7 linked regions of the Ovis aries genome follow. The protein of the gene in region 6 interacts with the protein of the main gene of each other region in a pairwise test. Links are inferred from orthologs where the notes say so. Each region holds a gene or a part of one and is shown on either strand. Other genes may lie near its edges.

Evidence for each region.
Region 1: the proteins of CEP76 (region 6) and TTC21A interact in a two-hybrid assay, tested with the Homo sapiens proteins (2 studies listed by BioGRID). The two-hybrid records come from large-scale screens. The link is inferred for Ovis aries from reciprocal best matches to the Homo sapiens genes CEP76 and TTC21A.
Region 2: the proteins of CEP76 (region 6) and C17H22orf39 interact in binary tests that used the Homo sapiens proteins (3 or more experiments, as listed by UniProt). The two-hybrid records come from large-scale screens. The link is inferred for Ovis aries from reciprocal best matches to the Homo sapiens genes CEP76 and C22orf39.
Region 3: the proteins of CEP76 (region 6) and THRA interact in binary tests that used the Homo sapiens proteins (3 or more experiments, as listed by UniProt). The two-hybrid records come from large-scale screens. The link is inferred for Ovis aries from reciprocal best matches to the Homo sapiens genes CEP76 and THRA.
Region 4: the proteins of CEP76 (region 6) and AKAP7 interact in a two-hybrid assay, tested with the Homo sapiens proteins (3 studies listed by BioGRID). The two-hybrid records come from large-scale screens. The link is inferred for Ovis aries from reciprocal best matches to the Homo sapiens genes CEP76 and AKAP7.
Region 5: the proteins of CEP76 (region 6) and CRYBA4 interact in binary tests that used the Homo sapiens proteins (3 or more experiments, as listed by UniProt). The two-hybrid records come from large-scale screens. The link is inferred for Ovis aries from reciprocal best matches to the Homo sapiens genes CEP76 and CRYBA4.
Region 7: the proteins of CEP76 (region 6) and DZIP1L interact in binary tests that used the Homo sapiens proteins (3 or more experiments, as listed by UniProt). The link is inferred for Ovis aries from reciprocal best matches to the Homo sapiens genes CEP76 and DZIP1L.

The regions. Positions count from the first base shown.
Region 1 is NC_056072.1:12,442,587-12,446,086, reverse strand, and holds part of TTC21A (tetratricopeptide repeat protein 21A), read right to left. Parts: intron 3,389-3,500; coding exon 3,222-3,388; intron 1,565-3,221; coding exon 1,442-1,564; intron 1-1,441. UniProt on the Homo sapiens protein: Intraflagellar transport (IFT)-associated protein required for spermatogenesis. Required for sperm flagellar formation and intraflagellar transport.
Region 2 is NC_056070.1:72,728,495-72,732,659, forward strand, and holds C17H22orf39 (UPF0545 protein C22orf39 homolog), read right to left. Parts: upstream 2,801-4,165; 5' UTR 2,787-2,800; coding exon 2,763-2,786; intron 2,660-2,762; coding exon 2,492-2,659; intron 1,739-2,491; coding exon 1,613-1,738; 3' UTR 211-1,612; downstream 1-210. UniProt on the Homo sapiens protein: Negatively regulates long-term potentiation and modulates adult synaptic plasticity. Stabilizes the interaction of RTN4 isoform A/Nogo-A with its receptors, inhibiting clustering of postsynaptic AMPA receptors at synaptic sites.
Region 3 is NC_056064.1:40,127,948-40,132,029, reverse strand, and holds the start of THRA (thyroid hormone receptor alpha), read right to left. Parts: upstream 2,801-4,082; 5' UTR 2,499-2,800; coding exon 2,446-2,498; intron 36-2,445; coding exon 1-35.
Region 4 is NC_056061.1:56,701,515-56,705,014, reverse strand, and holds part of AKAP7 (A-kinase anchoring protein 7), read right to left. Parts: intron 1,366-3,500; coding exon 1,205-1,365; intron 1-1,204. UniProt on the Homo sapiens protein: Probably targets cAMP-dependent protein kinase (PKA) to the cellular membrane or cytoskeletal structures.
Region 5 is NC_056070.1:66,459,990-66,463,489, reverse strand, and holds part of CRYBA4 (beta-crystallin A4), read right to left. Parts: intron 2,702-3,500; 5' UTR 2,690-2,701; coding exon 2,651-2,689; intron 1,758-2,650; coding exon 1,639-1,757; intron 463-1,638; coding exon 321-462; intron 1-320. UniProt on the Homo sapiens protein: Crystallins are the dominant structural components of the vertebrate eye lens.
Region 6 is NC_056076.1:43,547,447-43,550,946, forward strand, and holds part of CEP76 (centrosomal protein of 76 kDa), read right to left. Parts: intron 2,244-3,500; coding exon 2,026-2,243; intron 1,637-2,025; coding exon 1,498-1,636; 3' UTR 1-1,497. UniProt on the Homo sapiens protein: Centrosomal protein involved in regulation of centriole duplication. Required to limit centriole duplication to once per cell cycle by preventing centriole reduplication.
Region 7 is NC_056054.1:251,716,063-251,719,562, reverse strand, and holds part of DZIP1L (cilium assembly protein DZIP1L), read right to left. Parts: intron 2,498-3,500; coding exon 2,358-2,497; intron 2,148-2,357; exon of another isoform or gene 2,075-2,147; intron 590-2,074; coding exon 428-589; 3' UTR 1-427. UniProt on the Homo sapiens protein: Involved in primary cilium formation. Probably acts as a transition zone protein required for localization of PKD1/PC1 and PKD2/PC2 to the ciliary membrane.

The sequences.
Region 1 (3,500 bases), on a different chromosome or scaffold from region 6:
AAACAAGAAGAGGAGTATTCTAAATATAAATTTACGTATAGACGTGTTCACTGAAGCTTTCTTTCTACAGATACAACTAAAAACAACCTTAATATACAAACACTAGGAGGCAAAGTTGGCAAATTATATTAGGTCCACGCAGTCGTGGCCTGACTTTATGTCAAAACGACATGTGCTTATGACACAGCCCTACATGAAGAGACCAAATGGCAAGGTGCCCTATGATAACAGCCACATGAAATCCCCCTGTCTGCTGTCCTGTAGCAGGTGCTGTGCGTGACCCCCTTCAGGACCAGGGGTTGGGGGTGGCTGTTGATATCTCTTGGAGGAGCCTCCCTCCTGGGCTCCCCTGTGGCTTCAGGGAGCCCCCAAGTACCAGGTTGCCCCCATCCCCGAGGGGCAGCCTACAGCCAACATCTTGTCAGGGAGGGGGTCGGGGCAGGGCCACCCCAGCTCCAGTTCCAAGCAGAGCTGGCTGAGGCTGCCGCTATGGCTGCTGCACAGTCCAAGCTCTCCCTCCTACTTCTTTCCCTTTCCCTACACATGTCGGTTCTGAGGGCACAGCCTGATAATCCTCCTGTGTGATAGCCTCATGGCTTCTGCTCCCCCACGAACCACTGAAGGTGCACCCTGAAACAACGCGCAGCAGAGAGACGAGGAGACACGGCCCTAAAATATTGCCGTGGGTTGTTTGCGGGATGGCAGGTCTAAAAGGAGGCCATTTTGACTTTTTTAGACTTCTGGTTTTTCAATGAGCACGCATTCATTTCAGGTGGCACTAGTGGTAAAAAAAAAACAAACAAAACATCTGTCTGTCAATGCAGAAGACACCAGAGATGTGGGTTCGATCCCTGGGCTGGGAAGGTCCCCTGCAGGAGGAAATGGCAACCCACTTTGGTATTCTGGCCTGGGAAATTCCATGGAGAGAGGAGCCTGGCAGACTACAGTCCACGGGGTTGCAAGAATCGGACACGACGGAGCATGCGTGCAAACGTATTCATTTTATAAGATAGGTACATACAAACAGAAGCAGGTAAGAGGATGATTTTTCCTCTCATAGACTGATTCAGAGAGGGTCACATCAGAAAAAGGCAACAATTTAAGATCAGAAAATACAAAACACATACCTTCTTTCTCTTATGACCAAGTGAGTGAGTTTAACAGGTGAGATGAGAAAAGAAAACGTAGAGGAAAGGGACAGTGGGTGAAAACAAAAGGGATAGAGAGAAAAAAGCCCACCAGAGCCCAGGGAGCATAGGTCCTGAGGAGATCTTAGGCAGGAGACAGACAGAAACTCAGACAGGAAGGACTGGGGCGGGCCCAGCGCTGCTCTGTGGCCCTGGCCCTCTCCGGGACTCTGCTCTTCATCCACCAGGTGGGGCCCTAGAGACGGAGGCCCCTGGCTGGGGACACTCCCACCCCTCGCCTCCCCACTGCCTACCTTTCCCATCAGCCCCAGGACGTCTCTGGTGTCCTGGATGCCATGCTCCAGGTACTTGATGGACTTCTTCACCGTGTGGGGTTTGTCTGAGCTGAGGTCCACCCAGCCTCTGAGCACATGGCCCTGGCATGAGAACAAGGGGAAAGGTAAGTCCTCGCTCCTGCATCGCCTCCATTCGACTGCCTCTCCTGCCCCACTTCCCCCTCTTTGTCACTCCATTTTCCGAGGCCCTGCCAGGCACCGCTGCTCCCAGATCCCAGGGCAGCCCTGCTCTCTCTCTCGGGCCTTCCTACCTCTTGTTCCTTCACCTGGAAAGCCCTTCCCAGCATGCACCCCCTAGCCAGGTCCCTTCACCTGGTTAACCACCACCAGTCGCTAAAACTCAGTGGAGGAGGCCCGTCCCATAGGAGGCCTTCCTTGACCCTGCAGGCTGGGCTGAGGCTCTCGCTGTAACCCCCATGGTTCTCTTGCCCTGCGTTGTCACTGTCTGTTTACACTGGGGTCAGAGCACCATGGCGGGACCACTCCTGTTGCCTCCGCTCCTTAGACCAGCGTAAGGGCTTGGCCTGGACGGAAAGCTGGGAATGCCTTCTGAGTGGGCGGGTGGCCACTCTGAGCTCATGGGCCTTGCCGGCTCCTCTCCAGCCTTTGCCCCACCTTGCCCGGCACGTGTGGCAGGCCAGGCCTGGGAGGCAAGATCAGAGGGGCACCTGGAAGACCCTGTCCCAAAGCACCACTCATGGCCTAGAGAAGGTTTCTCAATTCTTTTCCATTATTGCCCTTCTAATGAGCCTTTTTCCCCTGGAGAAGGAAATGGCTACCCACTCCAGTATTTCTGCCTGGAGAATCCCATGGATAGAGGCGCCTGGTGAGCTGCAGTCCATGGGGTCGCAAAGAGTCAGACACGACTGAGCAACGGAACAACAACAAAGGAGCCTTTTTAGATGTTTCCCACCTAGTCATTCTCTGCCCCTCCAAGAGAATTAAGTATCATGTGTACACTGACTGATTTTACGTTCTGTGCGTATATTTGTGTTTTACATCCAATCAATGAGATTTTTCATCCTCTCCTTCAAGAAGCAATTTCCGCCCCCTTGAAAAGACCCTGATGCTGGGAAAGACTGAGGACTGGAGGAGAAGGGGACAACAGAGGATGAGATGGCTGGATGGCATCACCGACTCAATGGACATGAGTTTGGGTAAACTCCGGGAGTTGGTGATGGGCAGGGAGGCCTGGCGTGCTGCAGTTCACGGGGTTGCAAAGAGTCTGCGACTGAACTGATTGACTGACTGGGGGGCTGGGGGTGATACACGCCCTGCTGAGATGCACGGCCTAGACTGAGGCTTCCAATTCTACAGTCCTTCGGCCCATGAGACCGCCACAGGTGAGATCTACTGTGTGAGCCGAGCAGAGACACCGAGCAGATCTCTGCACGGAGGGAGTGCAGGCCCAGTGAAGCCAGCTCATCTAGTTTTTCAAAAGAACCAAGAAATCTGGGACTTTTAGGTAAAAATGTTCTGATTTCGAAATGCTAGCAACTATTTCAAGATTTTAAAACTATATAGCACAGGCCATAAAACACCTATCTGCAGATTGGACTCTATGGACAAAGTCCAGTTTGTAGTTGGCTAAACCCTGAGCCAGCATGGGCCTTGTTGGTGCCTGGGTGTGACCCTCCCCCAGCCCTAGTGCCCTCCATGGGAGTCAGAGCCACTCTGTATGACGTGTTTGGATGCTGCTTTCTTTGGCTGTTGCCCCCACGATGCCAGGGGCCTGTACCTCTCTGGAGCTGCTGGAAACCTTCAACGTGCGGTCAATGTACTCCTTGGCCTTGTCGTGGCGGCCCATGAGCCAGAGGAAGAGGCCAGCATAGTACAGGGCAGTCCCACTGGCTGTCTTGCGGACTTCCTTCAGACTGCTCTCAAGCTCCTGAATTGCTTCTCGGTCTGGGAATTCGTGAGAGGGGGAAGAGGGCAAGTTAGGATGGGGAGGTCTGTCTGGTCCTTCCCCTGGACACTCTGAGCCTCCCACAACACATGCAGCTGACCACACGACAGC
Region 2 (4,165 bases), on a different chromosome or scaffold from region 6:
CCAGGGGCCGTTTCACCTGAGTGAGCACGCAGCTTGTGCACCGGCCTCGTCAGCCTGTGGCTCCTTCTCGGCCTTGCAAGCCTCCAGACTGCTCCTCGGACAGGGCTACACTCAGAGCCTTCCCCACCGCCCCACCCCTCACAGGTGCTTTTCAGGCCTGTAGCTTTCCTCGGTGAGGTTGGATAACCAAGTCAGTAGGTCGTGGCCAACTGTTTTGTCTCAAACTTTTATTTGGAGGTCACGAGAGGCTGACAGGAGGCTGGAGGCTGGCCAGTCTCACCTACACCAGAGAACAACAGCGCTGCCCGAGCGGGGCCCGGCTCCCCGCCGCGCATCCTCGTATCACAGGCTCCCCAGGATGGCGCTCTGACCCTGGCCCCAGAACTGCCAGCGTCCCTGAGACCACGCTGCACCGGGTCACCACCCAAACTGCTCGTCACCATGGCCTCTGTCCCGAGTTTGAAAGACGCTGCCCGTTTCAACCTTCACGGCTGACGCCTGAACGTCCATGTCCGTCCCCTGAACTCAATGGGACGGAGGCGACGTGTCCGTTTTGGGTGTGCGGTCCCAGGGCGTGGACATGCCTGACACAGGCATGTTCCCCTGCACTGGAGGCACGCTCAGCATCCGAGCAGGCGTGGGGCTCCTCATGGTGCCTGCGCCCTGCTGCACGAATCCCGGGAACCAGGGGGTGGCTGCCATTCCCAGCACACAGCCCCCCACGGGGGGTCTCAGACCCGGGAGGACCCAGCCATGCCACCCTCTCCTCGCACAGAAATGCCCGTGGACAGAGCTGCAGCCGCGGCTGATGGGCTCAGCTGTTGCCAGAAGGGGCACCCTGCGCCTTCTTTATGCTCTCCTCTGCTCCGGGGGTCCCGTGCATGCACCCCCACCGCTCATAGCCACAGAGGACTCCTGGGGCACACGGGGGCCCAATAATGAACGTCCTTCTGAGGGGTGGGTTATTCTGCCCCCAAGAACGGGTTCCGTGATGCGGAGCCACGCCTGTGCCCTGGCTGGGGCCCAGGGGGAGGCGCCGAGATGCCGCAGGCTGGGTGAACAGCGCCCAGTGGTGGGTCCGCCGCGCGGCCCCAGAGGCTACACCATTTCAGCAGAAGAAAGAGACCTCTAAAGGAGGGTTCTTGGTTCAAGGGCATGTATTCTAAGAGCATCTACAAAAACGTACAAAATTCTAACCCTGCCTGCATCTAACTTTCAATATGAAAGCCTGGGTGTAATTTGCAGTTTCTATTTGGAATCAAACCTGTGAAATTTCTTCTGATATTATCCACGTTTTCTAAAAACGACTGGGTGAAATTCCGAGGGAAGGAGCAGTGAGTGGCCGTGGCGGGAGAGAACCAAGGTGCGTGGTGGCCACCAGAGCAGGGCCGGTGGGGAGGCCACCTCATTCCCCCCCAAGTGTCCCCACGGGTCAGAGCTGCCCCTGGAGGGTTCGTCTGAGGAGCCTAGCCCTTGGGACAGCCTCCCTGGCTGCCCACAGGGACACTGCATGCTGGGTGGACCGGCTCCAAGCCTGGTGATGACGGCAGGGCAGGCGAGGCTGGAGGCAAGGGCGGAAGCTCCCAGGGGCCCTCTGGACTGTTTGGGTCGGTCACCCGTCCTTGTCCTCAGGCAGAGGGAGGTGCCAGTCTTCTGGGGGGCTCTGCCTGGGCGCCCACACCAGGCCATGCTTCCGTGCAGCCCGAACTCTGGCCCGCTCGCTTTCACACAGGGACCGCTGCAAAGGAGACCGGGTCACGGGCAGCCCTCTGAGATCAAAAGGCATGCATTTGACATTTAGGCAATCAAAACACCCCACATTCCACTAGCACTGCCCAGGTGCTCACTCTCCAAACCCCAGTGATGTTCCGCTGGGCAGAAACCACTCACCGTCATTTTAAATGTGTATCAGGCCATCTGACGTCCTTTCAGGGTGAATCCCTTCTCTATGCCTTTTGTCCACTTCACTGTGAAATCCATTTCTCATACTGATATATAAGAGCTATCTTGACAATCTGTGTATCAGTTATTGATTTCTTGCCACACAGACCCGCCAACTTTCTCTTCCACTGCTCAGGGACTGGGCATTTACACTCGCCAGTCCTGCTGGCACACCCCAAGAGCTCTGCACCCTCACAGCTCCGCTCCACCCTTTGCCCCATCAGCTCCAGGGCACCACTGTATGCCAGACTAGGATGTAGGAGTCAGGAGGGCAGAGATCGGGTTCTAACCTCTCCTGTACGTCCAAGAGCGTCCAGGGGGAAGCGTCTGCTGAACGGATGGACCAAGGGCCCCTCCTGACTGGACTCCCGTGACTGCACCACGCCCTCTCCCAGCCTGGCTGCCAGACTGGCCTTTGAATGATACCAATCAAAGCACACGCGGAGGGCTGGGCCCGAAGCCCCCGTTCCAGGCCCGCCCCCCGCGCCCGGCGCCTCTGGTTCCCGGCCTTCCGGGGCTCGGCGGGCCGGCTCGGGTCACCTGGCCTCACCTGGGCTTCGGCGCTGCGGCGCTGCTCCCACTCGCGGCAGCTGGCCAGGTCGCGCCGCCACTGCCCGCAGGCCGGCCGCTCGCCGTGGACGTAGTAGTGGCGCAGGAAGTGCCCGGCGCTGCGGCAGAGCTCCCACTCCGCGCGGTAGGCCTCGCACGGGCGCGGCGGCTGCGGGGGCGGGCACGGGGGCGTGAGCGGGGACCAGGGGCCCGCCCGCCCGCTCCGACCGGCGGACTCGGCTCCCCGGGCCCCCAGCGCCCACGGAGCTTACCCGCCAGCCTTCACCTTCCGCCATGTTCCGGAACCGCCGGGCCCGCCTCCTGAGGCCGCCGCCGCCGCGTGACTGACGGGCAGAGGGACCAATGAGCGCCGAGGCTTTGCCAGTAGCTCCTCGCCCACCTCCTTGAGATGCGCCAGTGAACGGGACATCCGGGCTGGCAGCCAATAACAGCCTGGGGGCGGGGCCCGACACTCGAGGGGGGCGGGGCCGAGCCCGGCGTGGGCGGGGCAGTCTCTGCCCGCGGCTTTCTCTTCGTCGCCTCGCAGTTCCGGTCGCTGAAATAGATCAGCGCCCCCGGGCTCCAGCGCCGCGCGGTCAAGCCTGCGGCTGCGGCTGTCCCGCCCGTGTCCCCTCCCGAGGGCGTGCAGGCAGGAAGCGGGGCGGAGTGGGGCGGAGGCCGTGCGGCCCGGGGAGCCAGCCGGCCCTGCGGGTGGGCGTCCCGAGGCGGCGTCGGGGGTGAGGCTGTGCTGAGGCGGGGGCCGGGGAACCAGGCGCGTCCGTGAAGGGCGCGCACGAGGCAATGACAGCGACGGCAAGGAGGCTGACGGCGCCTCAGGACTAGCCTGCGACCCCTCCGCGGTGCTCCTCCGCCTCCCCCAGCCTAGCCACCGCCAGTTACCCGCCGGGTGAGTCTGCGTCAGGGCGGAGAGCTGCAGTCTCACCAAGGCGTCCTGCCGTGGTGGTTCACAGGCCAGGCTGCCCACCAAAGAGGGCGTCTGCGTCTGCCAGCGAGCCGAGACCCCTGGAGGGTCCGGCAGGTCACAGCCTGCTCAAGACTTCCGAAACCACTTGCATTGCCTGGGTGTGGCTTTGGGTCACAGGGCCCAACCCTGATTATCACGATGAACTCTAATGCTCCTTCTCTGAGGACACGTGGGTGAACCCTGGGACCACTCTCCCGCGGGGGACAGTCTCCTGAGAGTTGAGGGAAGCCTGTGGAGATGGGCCTCTTTGCCTGGAGCAGAGGCAAGGGGGGCCCCTGCTGGGCCCAGGGTCGGAGAAGCCCGCAGAGGACCTTTCCAGCAGGTGTCAGCCGCATGCTGGTACCTAATCAGACGCGTAGAGGCAATTCAGGTTTTGGTCACTGCCTGTTTTTCATTTGAAATTCATAATCGAAAATTATTTTCAAGGAACAAGAGATTCAAATAATTGAACTGACATGTCAAAGGAGCTCTTATTATATAAAGTGGAGACCTGAAATTAAATTAACACTAATTTTTAAAAAAAAAGGCCAGCAGAACTTTGGAAAATTTAATACATTTAAAACTGGGAGTGGGAGGTAGGGAGAACATATCTTCAGGTTTCATTTATTTTAACACTTACATTTGTGCTTCATCACGAAGCTCTTTTTACAAAACAGACTAAAGAACCAGTTCTGTCCAAATTAAATCAAA
Region 3 (4,082 bases), on a different chromosome or scaffold from region 6:
TCTTTCTTTTTCGCTTTCCATCTGGTGACCTGGTACTGGATAGGGGCAAAGTGGGTAGAATCAGAGAGCAGACCTTGGGCAGCCCCCCTTTGCATCCAAGGGGCTGAGGTTATGCCTCAGGCCTGACTCCCTCCATCTACCTCGCACCTTCAGGTCAGCTGACAAAACTGAGAAGGGTCCAGCTATCTGAGCAAGAAATAAGGGGCTTGGCTGGAGCACAAGTATGTTCAAGGGTCCCAACACACACTCACACACACATTAGAGAACCTTAAACATCCATCATCTATAAAACATCCACATATTTAAGCCTTCAGTGCTTGACACATATGCAGAAAGAATCTCAGGACATGAATCTTTAGGACACGCTTAAAACTATATAAGCTTAGAATACACACAAATATATGCAGCATAAAACCAGCACATATGAACATATGAACACCTATGCTGCCTTCAGTATAAACCCAAGCATGGTACATAAGCAGCAGTCTCTATTATCTATGTGGATGTGACTTTCAGGGCTTTCTCAAATGTTATACGGCCTCAAGGATATGCCCACGTGTTTCACAACCCTCTAGACAGGCACCTAATAATACCATGCCCCTCCCCACAGCGAGCATGTCATTTGATTTTCAGCTCATGCATACACGCTAGATAACCACAGTGGACCACCAGAACCTAGACTCAAGAACATGAGAAAAGGATGGGACTCCCAAAGCCACCCTGTCCATGGGCCCCATTTAACAGAACAGCAAACTGAGGCCCCACCTGTGCCAGCTGACACGGTGGGCAGGGGTCAGAGCCAGAACAAAGACCTAGGGCCCCTCCATGTAAGGTGTTATAGCAGCCCTCAGCCACTGCACATGCATGTGGCCAGCCTCTCCACATATGTGTTACATAACCTCAGCACACACAGATTACATAAGCTTCTACATGCATGCACGGATTGTATAACCTCTCACACCCACCCCGCGTGTGGCATGTTGCAGAGTCCTCCCTCCAGAGTCCCATGCAACTACCAACACACTGACACAGTGACCTTGGCCAGGGTCACAGTCACAGATAGCTCTGTGTCCCACACACCCTGGGGATTGCCCCTGTTTAATTTCTAGAACGGTTCGAGGGTCAGATCTGCCTCCTGTCTCCGGAGGGGTGGGTATGGGGGAATGCCTAGCTATCAAGGCCCCAGCTGAGCTGACTGACGGTCTTCAGCAATTAATCAGTTACCGCCTCTGGGTGCAGTACCAGAGCTAGCCACAAGGTGGCGCAAGGACATGGGGGAGGGGAGGCTGTCAGGGGAGGGGCTGCAGTCCTGGGGGGACCAGGAACTGGCATTCCCGCCTTTCTGTGCCTTAGGAGCAGACTCTCCCAGACCCACAGAAGTCTGGGCATGGAGGTACAGAGGCTGTAAGAGAAAGCTATGCAATGACAGGGTACATCTTTTTCAGAGTTCCCTGGGGTAGGGACTGGGTAGGGGGATACCCCACTGCCCTTACCTAACCACCAGCCCCATCTACTTACTCCACCCTTCCAGGGACCCAGTCTTGGGCCCCAAGGCTTTGCTGGCCCAGGACTCCAGCCTCCTGGCTCAGGATCTGGTCTCCTAGGCAACGGCCACACTGCTCCCCAGAGCACCCATCCCCCACCCTCTCCCCGGCCATAGGCACAGGCTGTACCCAGCTCCCAGGGCACCATGCCAACAGAGACGGAGCTCTGTGCTGCTTGGAGCCGATGGGAGAGGCAGAGACCCTCTGGGCTCCTGAAAGGCACTGCAGATGGTAGGTAAGCCATCCCTAGCTGTGTGTGCAAGGCTGATGTCTGCTCCACGTGGGAGCAAAATCTTCATAGCTGGTATTCACTTCCACTTCCTGGGAGGAGCTCCATGTAGTGCCCGCCCTTGCCCATGAACAAGGAAGAGCTTGTGAGGCTCCCAATAGCTTCCAAATATAAGTGTGCGCTGTGACCAACAGCTACTGGACCATGTTCCCTGAAATGTCATGTAACAGGCACCATGGCTTCTGGACTGCACAATGGCAGTCAGAAGGGAATGAGCTGCTAGGGAGAGGAGGAAAGGAGGCAAATGGCAAGGCTGTTTGGATTCCACAGATGCAGGTGAGGGTGGCCGAGGGGACCAGGGAGGGGGGCAGGATTTGAGATGCCCAGCACCATCCAGGGAGGGGCCATGTGTCTGCCGCCTGTAATTACTCTACATCACCTCCCCCTTTTAGAATGGGCATCTGTCCATCCAGGTGCCTAATTCCCTGCCACATGGGAACATGACCTCATCTCCTGGGCAAAGGTAGGCAGCAGGCTGGCTGGCCTCATGCCCCTGCCCTGGCCCCCACCACAGAGGTACTTAAAAGGCCCAAGCTCAGCTCTCTTGGGCCCAGCCAGGTGACCCTGCTTGCTGCCTAGGAGTTGGCACGACGTAGCTGCCGAACGCATTACCTGCTCTCCTCTGGGTCTGACCCACACTCCACCTTGCTTGGCTTCTGTTCCATTCACTTCAATTCCATCCAGGATGCCCTCCAGCACGCCGAGAGACTGGGGTGGGCACACTGGCCCCCCCGGCACACCCACAGGCCACCCACCCCCTGCCACCCAGGCCCTAGGGCACAGCACCCATGGTGCCTGCCTCAGCACTTGGCCTTTCACACCATGCCCTGAGCCCCAAGGGGGGCGGGCGGTGAAAGGGGCCAGGGAATGGCAGGTGGTAGGGCTGGGTCGGGGAGCAAGCTGGGTCTGTAAAGGGGTCCTGGGTGGGAAGAGTAACTTCTGAATCTTGTCCTGTCCAGAGGTCCCTGCAGAGAGAGGAGAGAGGCAGGGATAAGGTGGCGCCATGGTGGGGCTAGGTGAATAGGATTCCTTTGGTACCAACATTTTCGGGCTTATAATGAGATGATGGGGGACTTCCCTGGTGCTCCAGTGGCTAAGACTCCATGCCCCCAATTCAGGGGGCCCAGGTTCAATACCTGGTCAGGGAGCCGGACCCCACAGGCTGCAACTAAGAGTTCGCAAACCACAACTGAAGTTCCTGCATACCGCAAGGAAGACCTGAGATCCAGTGTGCCACCACTAAGGCCTGGAGCACGCCAAATAAATAAATACTTTGAAAAAGAAAATAATGAGATAGTGGTAGTCATAGAGGGCAGGCACAGGGAGAGGACTAGGATAACCATTCAAATCAACAGAGAGCAGGCAAAAAAATAAAGAACCACCACAGAGCAGGCAAGACTGGAGATCCACAGCCTGATCTCCAGACATGAACAAGGATGGCGGGAAAGAATGAGGTCATCCATGTACCTTGTCTCAATCCTCACAATCAAGTGAGGCCCTTGTGTGTGTGTTAAGTCATTTCAGTCGTGTCTGACCCTTTGCGACCCCATGGACTATAGCCTGCCTGGCTCCTCTGTCCATGGGATTCTCCAGGGAAGAATACCGGAGTGGGCTGCCATTTCCCTCTCCAGGGGAATCTTCCTGACCCAGAGATCGAACCCGCCTCTCTTGTGTCTCTGGCATTGGCAAGCGAGTTCTTTACCACTAGCGCCACCTGGGAAGTTCCTGGCCCTTAATATGCATCTATTAAACATCAGTTGCTATTACCAACCCCCTCGCCAAGTTTTCCTAAAACTCATCAGTAGTGTAAAGCAAGAGGCCACCAGAGATGGGCAGCTTTGAGCCCAGGCACAGGGCGGCAGGGGGTCGGAGGGGGGGAGGGGGGTGTACTGGGGAAGGAAGCCTGGTTTGTAGAGGTGGCATGCAGGAATCCTGAACACCCACCAGAGTGCCTCAATGAAGAGGGACGCTGAAAACAGTAGGGAGCTGCCCCCTCCCCCAGCTGCTGGCCCAGTTATGACTCCCCAACCCTGGCCCCACAAGGTGATTCCCATACAAGGTCCCACATCACACTTCCCAGTCTGAGGACCAGGCTTCCCCTTCCCCATTGGTTTAGCTGAGCTGCCACCCACCAGGAAGGCAAGGGAACAGGGAATGGAAAATAACCCCCGTTAATGGCACATAGAACATATGCCCTCTGGTATCAGAACTTCGCAGGTGAGTAAACGAAGCCTCAGAAAGCTTGAACA
Region 4 (3,500 bases), on a different chromosome or scaffold from region 6:
TGGTGGATTCCCAGATGATATTATTTTAAGACAGATAGACAGAGAAAAATAAGCCCAGCATGGAGCAATGATCAGAGAGTGTTATAAATTAAGGATTACTGAACCTGAAACAGGATGACATGAAATGATCTGACATGAGAGAAAAAAATAAAAATTGTTTACAGTACGTACATGAACACCCAAACTATGATCTCTGGATCATCTCAAAAAAGCACTCTTCCAGGTTTTATCATTTTCTGCTTCTATTTCCCTAGAAGGCTGACTGCCAAAGAATTGATGCTTTCAAACTATGATGTTGGAGAAGACTCTTGAGAATCGCTTGGACAGAAAGGAAATCAAACCAGTCAATCCTAAAAGAAATCAACCCTGAATATTCATTGGAAGGACTGATGCTGAAGCTGAAGCTCCAATACTTTGGCCACCTGATGCAAAGAGCCCACTCACTGGAAAAGACCCTGATGCTGGGAAAGACGAAGGCAGGAGAAGGAGATGACAGAGGAAAAGATGGTTAGATGGCATCACCAACTCAAAGGACATGAGTTTAAACAAGCTCTGGGAGATGGTGAAGGACAGGGAAGCCTGATGTGCTGCAGTCCATGGGGTGGCAGATTAGGACATGACTGAAAGACTGAACAACAACAAATTTCCCTAACATTTTCAATTGTGCTGCAGAAAGCAGCTTGTTCTCCAATGGATGTTAGACCTTCTACCACCACCAACGGGCCTTCTGCTTAGACAGTGGTACCTAAACAGGAAGGAAAAAAGGTAGCACAGAGGGAAATGTCACTGATTCATCTACTGACTCTCCCAAATGGGGCTGACAATCCCCACAAGCAGAACAGGCAATTGGTGTTTCTAATTAACTCATTCAATATTTACTTAATGCCAGCTATATGTCATGATAAGCACTGGATCCTTCAGACTTATGATTAGGATGGTCCTAACAAATACTTGGGTCCAGTCCATCATCTTCCAGAATCAACATATTCCCCCGAGTCAAAGGATCAAGATACAGTAACTGTTCTGGCCTTTTATTCGGCTACTTATCTACACAAGCAAATGCTGAAGTAGGTCACTCATAAAGTGAGGCTACATTGCCCCCCACAAAGTTGAAAGATGTCAAATCTCTATTATAAGAATTGGAAGAAAAAAATTCCCTCTTCAACAATGAGATTTCATGTAAGTTTATCGCCGTTTGTTTTACCTGCTATCTCCAAAAGTGAGTTTATGTGACCTCCTTCTGCCAGCTTCACAAATCCAACCTGATTTCCGAAAGTGTCAACCCCTTCAAAGGGCAAAGTCAAAGGTTTTCCTTGGAGGATTTCTTCTACAAATGGTTTTAATTCCAAAAGAGCATCAACACCACTGGCAAGAGACAATATATTTTTTAGTAATATAATATGTAGTAAAATATACAAAACCAAATAAGAAAAGAGTTTTAGATAAATTAATTTTTGTATTTGTACTAATTATTTTAATGCTCAGAATACCTTCAAAATCAAATCCATATGATCAAAATAAAACAAATATTAATTTTAAACAAAATTTGTATAAGTGAATTAATCTTTACCTAATTGCAATTTATTTTATTTTAAAGATACAAAACATGTTATAGTTTACCAAAAGGTTTTAAATCAAGGAAATACTGCATGCACAACTAAAGAAAAAAAAATATTGACAATATATTGCAGAAAAGCCCAATACCTACAAAAGTTTATATCAGATCATGTGAAAGTTTAAGGTTCTTGTTAAAAGTACTAATACTTACACAGTATTTACTATTTGTGAAGCACTTTACTAAAACTTAAAATATATTATCTCTTTAAAATATAACAGTCTCCATAATAAGATAATTAATTAGACTTAGACTTGACCAAAGTACAAGTTTACAACTATAGTGACATAAATTTGCTGTATATGTTTAGTCTATCTGATTAAAGGGCTATTCTGTGTTTCAAATGCACTATTTTTTCTTTATAGAAATAAAAGTTTACTATATTAGTGAATTAGACATCATCAGGTTTGGAATATTTTGAAAATTAAGATCAATTATTTCCATACTAAGAGGATTTTAGTACAGGGACTTTATAATGAGAATAAAACTAAAATCTCACTAGGGGGCAGCAATCACTCAAGAAAGAAAGAAAGACATTTTACATTACGGAGAGGGGTTTAAAATACCCTTCTAGTGAACCACCTTAATTTAAATTATCTTGATCAGCAATTCGTTCATCAATAGTAATAAGATGTCAAACGTGTGAAAAGAAACTTAGACATTTTTCTAGCTGTTTCATATTTCTACATTAGCTTTAAGTTTTTAACTGATTTTCATCCACAGTTTTCCATACTGGGTCTTACTTCTCTGTCAAACAATATATAATACTTCAAAACAGCTTTAGAAATGTCAACATTTCTCACTGGACCTCCAAATTCACATCCGAAATCCAATCTTTCCTGACTGTATTTATCTTCATCCAAAAAGACACGCTGCTACTGCAGTGCTATCTTCACCAGGGGCTGAATTCAAGCATGTGAAACAGAACAGCTACTCCGGCTCATCTTCCATAAATCAGGGGATGAATATCAAGATACTCACTTTAAATATAATGCTACAGCAAAGCAGGCCATCCTAAAGGTCAGGAGTTTTCAGAAACAGTGAATTCTACACTCCATTTTTCTTTAAAGAAATATAAATGATCCAAATTCAGTCCAGTTTTTCCACTCTGTAGTAATATAAACCAATGAATTTATCCTAATGAGATGTCACTGGTCACAGAGTGAAAATGAGTCACAGTGCCTCTTGGCAAATATCACTGACTTTAAAATTCTTTTAAATAGAGTATCTTTTCAAGAACTGTTTATGGAAAGATTTCTTTATAATAATAAACTGAACGGAGTATAGGTATGTAAGAAACAGAATTCTGAAACTAGAATTGAGACCCAAAGGTTGTACTCAAAACAAAGACAGGACAGCCATCTTTTCAAATCAGTATCTGGATTAATATATTTCTATTTCTTTCTTTTGCACTGTGAAGACACAAAACATGCCATCTACCTGAAGAAATTCATTACGTAAAAAAAAAATGTTTCTGTATACTCCTTATCTCACCCATTGACCAGTACTTTATATTAAATACCTAAAATATGATACTAGACTTTGAAAAGTAAGGATATAGAAAAAGAAACTAACAATACAGATGTCTAGCATATTATACTGTATGGGATGAAAGATAAAATTAAAAGATTAGGGACTCAGAAAACCCTTCACATAATCAATGTCTTGCAGAAACCCCAATCAGTTTCACTCACTATGAAAAGTGAAAGTGAAGTCACTCAGTCGTGTCCGACTCTTTGCGACCCCTGTAGCCTACCAGGCTCCTCCATCCATGGGATTTTCCAGGCAGGAATACTGGAGTGGTCCGCCATTTCCTTCTCCAGGAGATCTTCCCAACCCTGGGATTGAACCCGGGTCTCCTGCATTGTAGGCAGTCGCTTCACTC
Region 5 (3,500 bases), on a different chromosome or scaffold from region 6:
AGGTCCCCAAAGCCGCACAGCACGGCCAGAAAAAAGGAAAAGGACACACAGCAGGAAGGAGTTCATATCACAACCAGAGCAGCAATGGGCAGAATGTCTGTGCTGGGCTCCGTCCGCATGTACATTTTTCCCCCCCAGAACTTAAGTACCATGGCCCCAGTTTAAGATGAAGAAACTGAGGCTCAGAGAGGGGAGGGACCACCACAGCTTGAAGCAGTGATACGAGAACCTGAACTCTGGACATCCAATTTCCAAGCCCCCACTGGAGGGGCTCAGCCCCCCACCCCCGCCCTCAGGGATCAGGCAATGTCAGGACTCACAGCGCAGGCCACCGGCCGGAAGGAGGTGAGCCGCTCCGCGGGGTAGGACGTGTTGCCGCTCCAGGCGTCCCAGGATGGGTACTCGCCCCGCTCCAGCACATACTGCTGCCCTTGGAAGCCGGCGTGCTCAAAACCCACCCACCTGCCAACAGAGGGTAGAGGGTACAAGGGGTGAGGAGGCCTCCGACCCTGAGTTCCAGACCAGTGGTTGTCATATAGGGGTGACTTTGCCCCCCACACACACACACACCCAAGGAGGCATTTTAAATGTCTGCAGGCATTTGTAGTTGTCTTGCTGGGAGTCCGGAGGAGAGAGATTTACAACTGGCATTTGTGAGTAGAGGCTGGGGACGCTGCTAAACATCCTCCCATGCACTGGGCAGCCGCCAGCACAGAATTGCCTGACCCCAAACATCCATAGTGCCGATGTGGAGAAGCCCGCTGCCCCACCGTGCATCCTGCAGGCAGGGGACTGGCAGGCACCTGCCACCCTTGCGCCTGTCCCCCTGGGCCATGTAGATGAGACTTGACCAAGTGCTGACTTCAGCTTTGGTCATCTCATTAATCTCCGTCTCTCTTTTTAAGTTTTCAAATTTATTTTATTTTTGGCTGCGCTGAGTCTTCCCTGCCGTGTGGAGGCTTTTCTCTAGCTGCGGTGTGCAGGCTCCTTATTGCGGTGATTTCTCCTGTTGTGGAGCACAGGCTCTAGGGTACAGGTTTCAGTAGCTGTGGCCCGTGGGCTTAGCTACCTCAAAGCGTGTGGAATCTTCCCCAGCCAGGGATCGAACTCACATCACCTGCATTGGCAGGCAGATTCTTTACCACTAGGCCACCAGGGAAGTCCCCTCTCTCTCTCTTTTTAAACAAAACATATCTCATGCTCAGAGCCTCAGTCAGGCAGCAATGCTTAACTAAAAATTACTAGCATTATTTTTCACTATATTTTTAGTTACCTTCCACTTTTGGTGAGTGATATTGACTTTTGATTTGTACCTAACAGAGACACTTCAGACCCAACACTGGATTTTGAAGGTCTGCCCCCACAGGGCTGCCTCATCCAATGTGCAGACTCGGTGAATGCACCACTGACCGCCCCCCCCCACCTCTCTGCCCCGCTCCCCGCTACATTTGGGCAGTGCACAACCTGCGCAACCTTACACTGCCATCCTTCGTGCTCCCCAGCATCTCAAACCCACGGAGGCACACCGGTACAGTTAGAGCCTGGGAAGATAGGACCTCGAACACCTAAAAGTCCCAGCACCCTTCTCTAGATACCTTCCTGTCTCCCCAACCCCAACTCTGATCCCCCTGGACTCACGCGCCACTCAGCACTTTCAAAGATCGAACAGTCTCGAAGCCAAGCTCCAGCACGCTAGGGCACTCAGCCGTGAACTCATGCCGCCGGCCCTGGAAGCCCTCCTCATCCCACACCACGATCTATGCCGGAGAGAAAAGGTAGGGACCCACATCAGAGTGCTGGGCAGCCGGGGGGAATGGGGGACGGTGAGGGGTTAGGGATGCACCCCAGGACTCAGTGAGGGGCAGGCCAGGTAACGCAGGGCCGGCAAACTCAGATGCCTTCAGGGTCCAGGGACGGGAGGGTGAGAGCTGAGACCCCGGGAGCGCCACCTACTGTTGCCACGTGGTAATGCGACCAACAGTCCAATTTTCCCAAGACAGCCCCTGTAACTGAACTTTTCTGTGAGCTCTCCCGGTGTTCAAAGGCTGATGACAAATTCAGAGGTTTTAGGGTTTGGTTTTTTTTTTTTTTTCCCTCTTCTCTTTTAACACAGAGGAAACCAAAGGAATCACGCCCAGAGACTGTGCACCATCACCGGCTGGCCTTTTCTGCTGGTGGTAGTGGTGCTGGCCACTCAGTCCTGTCCGGCTCTTGCGACCCCATGGACCGTAGCCCGCCAGGCTCCTCGGTCCATGGGATTCTCCAGGCAAGAACACTGTAGTGGGTTCCCATTCCCTTCTCCAGGGAGTCTTCCCAACCCAGGGATCGGACCCAGGTCTCCTGAGTTGCAGGCAGACTCTTTACCGTCTGAGCTAGAGGGAAGACCTGTTGTTTTCTGCCAGAGAGACGGTTAAAGTTGGGGACAGGAAGCCCCAAGTTCAAGTCAAGAACCTCTGTGTGTGACCTTGGGCAAGACCCTCTCCCTCTCACAGCCTCGACTACATCCTCTGTGAAATGGGCCCTCATTACCGCCCCCCTCCAGGGGTGAGGTGGGAACTCAGTGAAGGTGGGGCAGGGGTCCGCAGGACCTGGGTTTGACCTGTGCCCTCTCCCTCCCGACGTCGTCCCCCACCCCCAGCGCCTCCCCTACCTTCCAGTGTCCCGCCGACTTGGTGCACTGCAGAGACATGCCGCTCGTTTCCTAGGCGACAGAAGAAGGTGAGGAAGCTTCCACCCAGACTCTGCTCCCCTCCTTGAAGCTGAAGTCTGGTTTGAGCAGATGGGTACCCAGGTGGGGTCCAGAAGTGCCCCAGATGAAGGGCAAAGTGCGGCTTTGGGCTGTCCCCCTCCTCCACTTTCCAGTACCATCTCCTTCTCTTCCATCCTCTCTCTGTCTCAGAATGAACCCATTCTGGGTCCCGTTCCTCTAAGCCCCCTTGGTGCTGATTTATCTACTCAGTAGGGGGAATTTTCCATGGCTGCGGGTGGGTGGGTGCTGCGCCCCTGGCAAGCGCCAAGGTGCTCAGCTTGAGAGCCTTCCAAAGACAGCGCCTGACCCAGAAGGGAGGCTCTAAGAGCAGAAGGTGAGGCCGCAGGATTACAGGAATCATTTGGGTTTCAGATGGCGGTCGCAGGTACTGGTCTCAAGGTCTGGAGCCTGGTTCGATGAGGATGGCATGCGGGATGACTCAGTGGTATCCCCCCAGGACTGGGGACGAGGGGCTCCCCTGTCTCCCAGGAGACTCACCCAGAGCTTGAATCCCACCCCTTCTCCAAGCCGGGGACTTACCGAGATGGACCCAGAGAACATGCCAGACCCGGGAACGGCCGAGGTCAGGCTCTTATAGGCAGGGAGGAGAGAGGGCCCCTGGGGGACGGAGCCCTGACTCAGCAAGTGAGTGACGGGAACAAAAGCCAGCCCTGCTTGTGTATCCGATGGAGAGGTGTCAGCACCATTGGCCTCGGCTGGGAGGGAGAGGCCAGGGTGCCCCCCTCGGGCA
Region 6 (3,500 bases):
CTGCCTCCTAGTACATGCCTCACAAATAGTTTGTTCCAAAAGCTGAAAATTACAAGCCATTTTTCCTGTTGATAGCTTTGCAAGTAACTCTGGTAACAGACCAAAAAGTCTTAATTCTTATCTTGCTGATTCTCTAAAGTCATGTCAGTCTCAAGAAACTTCTGATTTCTGGTCATTTTCAATAAAAATTGGTATGAGAGATTATTTTCAGACTTTTAAAACAAGTTATATCATAAATAATTACATATGTAAAAATTAAAAAGTAAATTTTAGAGTATCTTTAGATTTTAATTTCTAAAATATCATTTTATTTGCCATGTTGAATTAGCAATGAAAAGCATAACTTGCACAGCCACTTGGTATAGTCACTTTCATAAGAAGCCCAGTGGTTGCAGGAAAGAATGAGAGCTGTACAGAGAGGTGGGTGGATGGCAAGGCAATCCCATCAGGCAGCTTCTCACAAAGTTTAAACCACTACAGCCTCTTCAAAGTGCACTGTTCTCAACTTAAAAACAAACATCAGCATGGAGGCACTCACAGATGCTCGTTTTTCAGTGGCCTCACATGATGATTCTCTGATTTACATTCACCACATACACATGGATGCTTTTATCATAAAGAGAAAAGAAAGAAACAAAAACTGTGATTTCAAAAGATAAACTCCACGAGAGGCTAGTAAAGAATGCTGTGACCACAGAAAATCAGCAACAGACTGCCAATATCAATTATAGAAAACAATTTTCAACATACAACTAAAGGGTATAATAAATTTTTTCTAAAATAATTCAAAAATAAATAAGCAAAAAAAATAATAAAATACACAATTCACTTTTACAATGAATCAAACTAACAAATACTTATAAATTATTTGTATACTTTCATGTGTGGTTTGTTACTAATAATAATGCTTTTCTGGTATGAGTTTTTTCTCTGCTCCTGCACCCATGTCTTCCCATAACTCTCTAGAGAGTCACAAATATCCCTGTAGTTATGAGTAAACCACGAAAGTGGTAAATTCATCAAAATGCATTTCATCTATGTAATAAATAAATGTTGTGAAGTTAATTTCTCCTAATTTATATAAAATAATCCCATTACTCTATGAAAAATAATGATCGTATTAACTTCACTATGGCTCAAATCCTTAGGCAAATAACTTTCTGATTACCTGTTAATGCAAAGAAAACTAAGTAAATTTTATTTTCATATTTAAACTACTGACTACTTATAAGCAAAGTAGTATTTATTAAAATAAGATAAACACTTAATTTATACTACCATCCTCTCAAATTTATACAAGTTTTTCATCCTTAATTTTTAAACACACATCATGATACTTTTCAAACATTATTAGTGAGGCTTATATAAAAGTTAAATATGACATCGAAGCCAGATTGTGATTTTTAAAGTAATGAACCTCAAAACACCTAGTATTATTATCAACACAATGTGTAAAATTCTAATAAAACACAGGTATAGTCTTATAGAAACTTAGTCCTATAGTACTGAGCGATATTTACAAGCAAACATGATCCAAACAGCACAAGCAGATTCAGGGTAAGTAAACACGCGGACACGAACTGCCAGGCGCACCTGGTCTCCACGGCAACAGATGATTTCTTCACAGAAAGGAGACCTTAGAAGAGAGAAAATGGATTCAATTAAGAAATGAATTTAGGTTTTACTTTATTTCCAAGAAAGTCGGGTATTGAAAATGATTTTTAAAAATCCTGTCTCTGTTATCAAGGACTCTGCAACTGTGGTAAAACTATTCAAATTATAAACTATTTCCTCATAGCCAATTAAGTTTTTTAAATTACACTAGACAAGATCAGTGATCCTTGGCAGAAAAACGACCCTGAGCTCTCCAGAGCTACACTCTGGCCCTAATGAATCAGAGTCTGAGGCAAGAGGACAGGTCACTACAGAAGCTCCCTGTGTGACTCTGAAGTCATTCCTAAATTAGTGCCAAGTGTTCACTGAAATTATGTTAAAAACACCAAGACATCATAAATTCCACCTTACCGAAGACATGTGGCAAACGCGCGCCTCGCATTTCTATACACAAAGTGTATTGGGAACCCTTTAAATGTGTGGCCATCAGGCACAGCCCTTCTGATAGCATCCTGAAACTCTTCATTGCCCGCAGATATGCTTGTTGTACGCTCAAATTCATAAGACGCCAGAGCTGGTGACAAGAGATAAGAAAGCTGGTCTTCCCAGACAGTAGTGAGGCCAAGGTCCTACAGCAATTGAAATGGAAAAAGCAAAATACAATATTTAAAGAAACTAATTATAATGTTGATTATTTTAATGTATGCCAAGAAAAGATTTTTAAAATCTGTCATAATTTTCTTAACTTCCTATTAATTATTATAAGGATACAAAGAAGTAAAAATCATAAAAGGAAAAACAGGTATCAGGTTTTACTTCTTAGAGAAATAACAAAAGGCAGCCAATGCAATGATGTTAGTGAAGGCTGCAAATGCTGAACTCCCTTAATATCCACAAGGAAAGACCATAAGGAATTGTCCTACTGAGGAAGACAACATGTCAAGGAATTCTGAGGTCAAATTTTATTTAACTTTAAAGACTTTCACAAGATTGAATCTGCTTAACCTGATTACTCCCACTATCAACTGAACTGTAGTTGGGGAGAAATGTCAACAAATTGCACATATAATTAAACTCAAATATTTACTGAGCATTTATTCTGTAAAAGACACCAAAAAGCAGAAGCTACAGGCCCTCTGGGAGCTTAAGACATGCTGAAGGCAATTATAATTTCACTATGACATCAAATGAACCATTGCTACCTTGACATGTAATTTTTTTAATGCTACAAACTAAAAATTCTAAATATTTTGATTATTATAACAGATCTAATCTCACATTCTGTTATAACTGGTTTCAAGTAGGGATCACTTATCTTCTTCCTGTGACTCTTACCTGTGGGCTTATAGACACCATTAACTTAGCAAGCAACCATCTATGGCATCCAGCTCAGCTTTGTTCTCTTTTTTCTAAACAAGTAGTTCTTATAATGTATTAAAATGTCAGTTTCACAACCTAGATGTCCATCAGCAGATGAATGGATAAGAAAGCTGTGGTACATATACACAATGGAGTATTACTCAGCCGTTAAAAAGAATACATTTGAATCAGTTCTGATGAGATGGATGAAACTGGAGCCAATTATACAAAGTGAAGTAAGCCAGAAAGAAAAACACCAATACAGTATACTAACACATATATATGGAATTTAGAAAGATGGCAATGACGACCCTGTATGCAAGACAGCAAAAAAGACGCAGATGTGTAGAGCGGACTTTTGGACTCAGAGGGAAAGGGAGAGGGTGGGATGATTTGGGAGAATGGCATTGAAACATGTATACTATCATGTAAGAATCAAATCGCCAGTCTATGTCCGATGCAGGACACAGCATGCTTGGGGCTGGTGCACGGGGATGACCCAGAGAGATATTATGGGGAGGGAGGTG
Region 7 (3,500 bases), on a different chromosome or scaffold from region 6:
GCAGTAAGAGGCCAGACGACCTCAGTAAGTGACTTTGGGTCAATTATTGAATGGCTGACTCAGGCGTACATCCCCCAAAGGACCCCATAAAAGACCCAGCTCTACAAGGTTTACAAAACGCTGCAGAGTAGAGACCAAGTGTCTCCTTTCAGTCTGGAGCGAGCATGGAGGTAGATGAAGGATGCTCTTTCAAGGTCCTGTTACAACACTTTCTCAGCCCTGGGACCCATGGGACACTGCCAGGGCTCTCATGGGGGAATGGGAGAAATCATATCTGTCTTCTACTCTGCTTCTGTCCAAGGAGAAGACCTCTTGGCTCCTGAGGAAGACAAGAGGCCCAGCGGCCCCATCGTTGGGGGGTTCTGGGCCAGCCCCACACAGCTGGGCAACAAGGCTGGTCCTTTGGCTCCCAGAATCAGAAGCAGGCTCACCAGCCAGGGACCCTGGGTTGACTGGGGCTCCAAGAGCTGGCACCAAACTTCTCCGGGAGCTTTGAGCGAGACAAGGGCTTTGGTTTCTCTCTCTGGTTTAGGTCCTGTGGGAGATCTTCCAAGGAAGAGATCTCCAAGTCACTCTCATCCTCAGAAAGCTGCAGGGAGAACAGGGGAGAAGAAAATGCATCTGACCAGGGAGGACGGATATGCGGAGAAAATGCAGATCTGGAAGGAAGCAGGAGGGGCCACTCCTCTCATCTTCTGGTGTCCACGTCTTTGAGAACCTGCTTCAGAGACCTGGGGTCACAGCCATTGCAAAACACCCCTGAAATTCCACCGGCCATACTGAGGCCAGCCCCAAGGCCTGTAGAAGATCAGGTTGCGCTTGTCGAAATTTAAACTTTGTCCAGATTTTTGAACTGCCCACAGTGACGAAGTCCAGGGACTTAACTTCTCCAAACTCCTGAGCTGACTCACCAGAGCCTAATGCATCCACCGCACCTGCCACAGACCGCTGGTCCAGGGCTGGGAGACACTCTGACCAAAGGTGCATGAGGGGAACTCCAAGTGCAGGAATCCTTCAGCCTGGAAAAGGTCTGAGCTGGGCCAACAGGGGAGCCCAGCGTGGGCCAAACTCCCAGGCTGTCCCCGAACCAGAATCATGGTCACCCCACCCCCACCAGAGCTCTCAGTGCCCAGAGCATTTGCCATGGAACGTAAGGAACCAATCAGAAATTTCCAGGGCCCCAGGTGGCAAGCAGGCTCTGGACAGTGCCTCAACCTGCATAGCGCGGTCGGTGCTCTCTCACAACTGAGGATGAATTCTTTTTGAATACATTTTGAATCATTTAGACTCATTACTCATAAACACACATGAGCTACATAATAAACCGAACATATTACATAGCACAGGGTGGGTGTCGGGGTTGCCAGGGGAGGTGTATGCTAGGAAAAACCGAAAAATGATTGCCCATTATTTCTGAATTTTAGAGCAATAACATAGGTCATCCTAGGATGCATCTTTCTGATTGAAAAAGGAGGGTAAAGTTACAAGAGCTTGAAATGTTTCTGCCTAAGAAAACACAACAGGAATACAGAAGTGGTTCCCTTACAGGGAGAGGGGAGGTGGCAAGGACATCCTAGCAGGAATTGTCCGGGAGGCTGAGCATCTGAGCGATAAATCTGATGGCAGCTGGAGCTGGAGAGAGGCAAGGCCATTAAGACATTCTTAGTGATGAGGAATGGCCTTGGATATTTGGAACAAAGGTGCCTAATATCCCCACTGTGTATTGTGGAGCAGTCTGCTCTGCACACAGTCCTGCACTGGGGTTCTCGGGGAGTGAAGAAAGGGGAGAGCTTGGCTGTGGGATGAGCTGGATGGAGCCCGAATAGAGCAGCTACTGCTGGAAGCCAGGCACAGAGCCAGGTCCAGGCCCCATCAGAGCCAGAAGTGGGGGCATGCGTGGCTGGGAGAAACAACCCACCGAGTGGTTGTTCATGTAATGAAGGTGAAGGTGAAGTCGCTCAGTCATGTCCGACTCTTTGCGACCCTGTGGACTGTAACCTACTAGGCTTCTCCGTCCATGGGATTCTCCAGGCAAGAATACTGGAGTGGATTGTCATTTCCTTCTCCAGGGGATCTTCCCGACCCAGGGATCGAACCCGGGTCTCCTGCATTGGAGGCAGACGCTTTCACCTCTGAGCCACCAGGAACCACAAGGCTTTTCGATGTTAACAAGGGACACAAACAACAAGCACTGGAGAGTGGGCATCCCACCACTCCTGCAGGGGCAGAGGAGACGAGGGGCGTGAGGTCAACTGTAGTGTCGCACACGGGCCCTCCCTCAGGCCCCGCCCAGGGCCCCAAACTCGAGCCAGCTCTGTAAGAGACTGCAGGGGCGCCTCTTAGGTCCTACAGCCTACCTGGGGCTTTCCTCCTGGCACAGCAGCTCTCTGTGGCCCGGCACTGGGCACTGAGAACAGACTGACCCCTCCAGCAGGCTTCTTGGCTGGAGCCTCCAACTGCTTCTCGAGGTTTCTGACCATCGATTGCACCAGCGTTCCTGGAAGGCAACCAGGGGAGAAGACCAGCGTATGAATGCATCATCCCCATGGGTCAAGTCCCAGCTCCAGTGTGGATAAAGGGAGCATGGAGAAGAGTCCGAAGGGAAAAAAGAAAGACAAAAGCAGTAGAAGAAAGGCAAGGAGAGAGAGGCTCAGGCCAGCATGGGTGGGGAAAAGAGGCTTGGAACATCCAGAAATGTGCTATGTCCTGCAGGGCACGGCTGGGCACAGAAGCTGAGCAAGCTGCCCTTTCCTCTCAGCAGGCGAAACTGCTGCTCGGTCGGTACATGAACAGCAAGATCAATGTGTAGGTTTTCCTCCAACATCTTCACAGAGAAATGAAGAAATATCATCGATATAAATTTGCACAGGGCAGACCCACTTTCTGTGAACTCCTAGCAGGAAGGCGGCTAAGCAGTGACTACATTATCAGTGTGAGAAAGCAAGGTGGATGTTCAGACCTCAGGACTGGCCAGGAAGCAGGGAGCCAGCCATGGCCTTCCAGGACACAAGTGTCTGGGGGCCTGAGCAGAGGTCGAGCGATGATGACCCTTGGCTCACTGATTGATTAAAAGCCAGTTAGTTAAGGGTCTACTATGTTCATACTATACTCCTTGCCCCTCACCACTCATCTTATCCAGATACCTCCCTTTACAACAAAGGAACCAAAGCTCTCCACGCCAGCACACAGGGAGCAAGTGACAGCCCAGAGCGTGGTCAAGGACTCCACACTCCCAGTTCCTAGGTGTCTACACCCTATCATCCACCTGGCAGGTCGTCAGTTCTTCTCCAGAGATCTGGTTCTGGTGGGTTCGATGGGCTGGCAGGCTGGGACCATGCCTCGGACAAGATGAAGTTCCGCAGAATTCATGACACTGTAAGCTTGACAGATGGCACAGAACTGAGCTTACCCCGCAGCTTGTCCACTTACTGCCTTTGGTAAGACAAAACCTAAGCTCTATAGTCTTTAAACTTTGGCTAGAAAATGCAACTGAAGCCAGA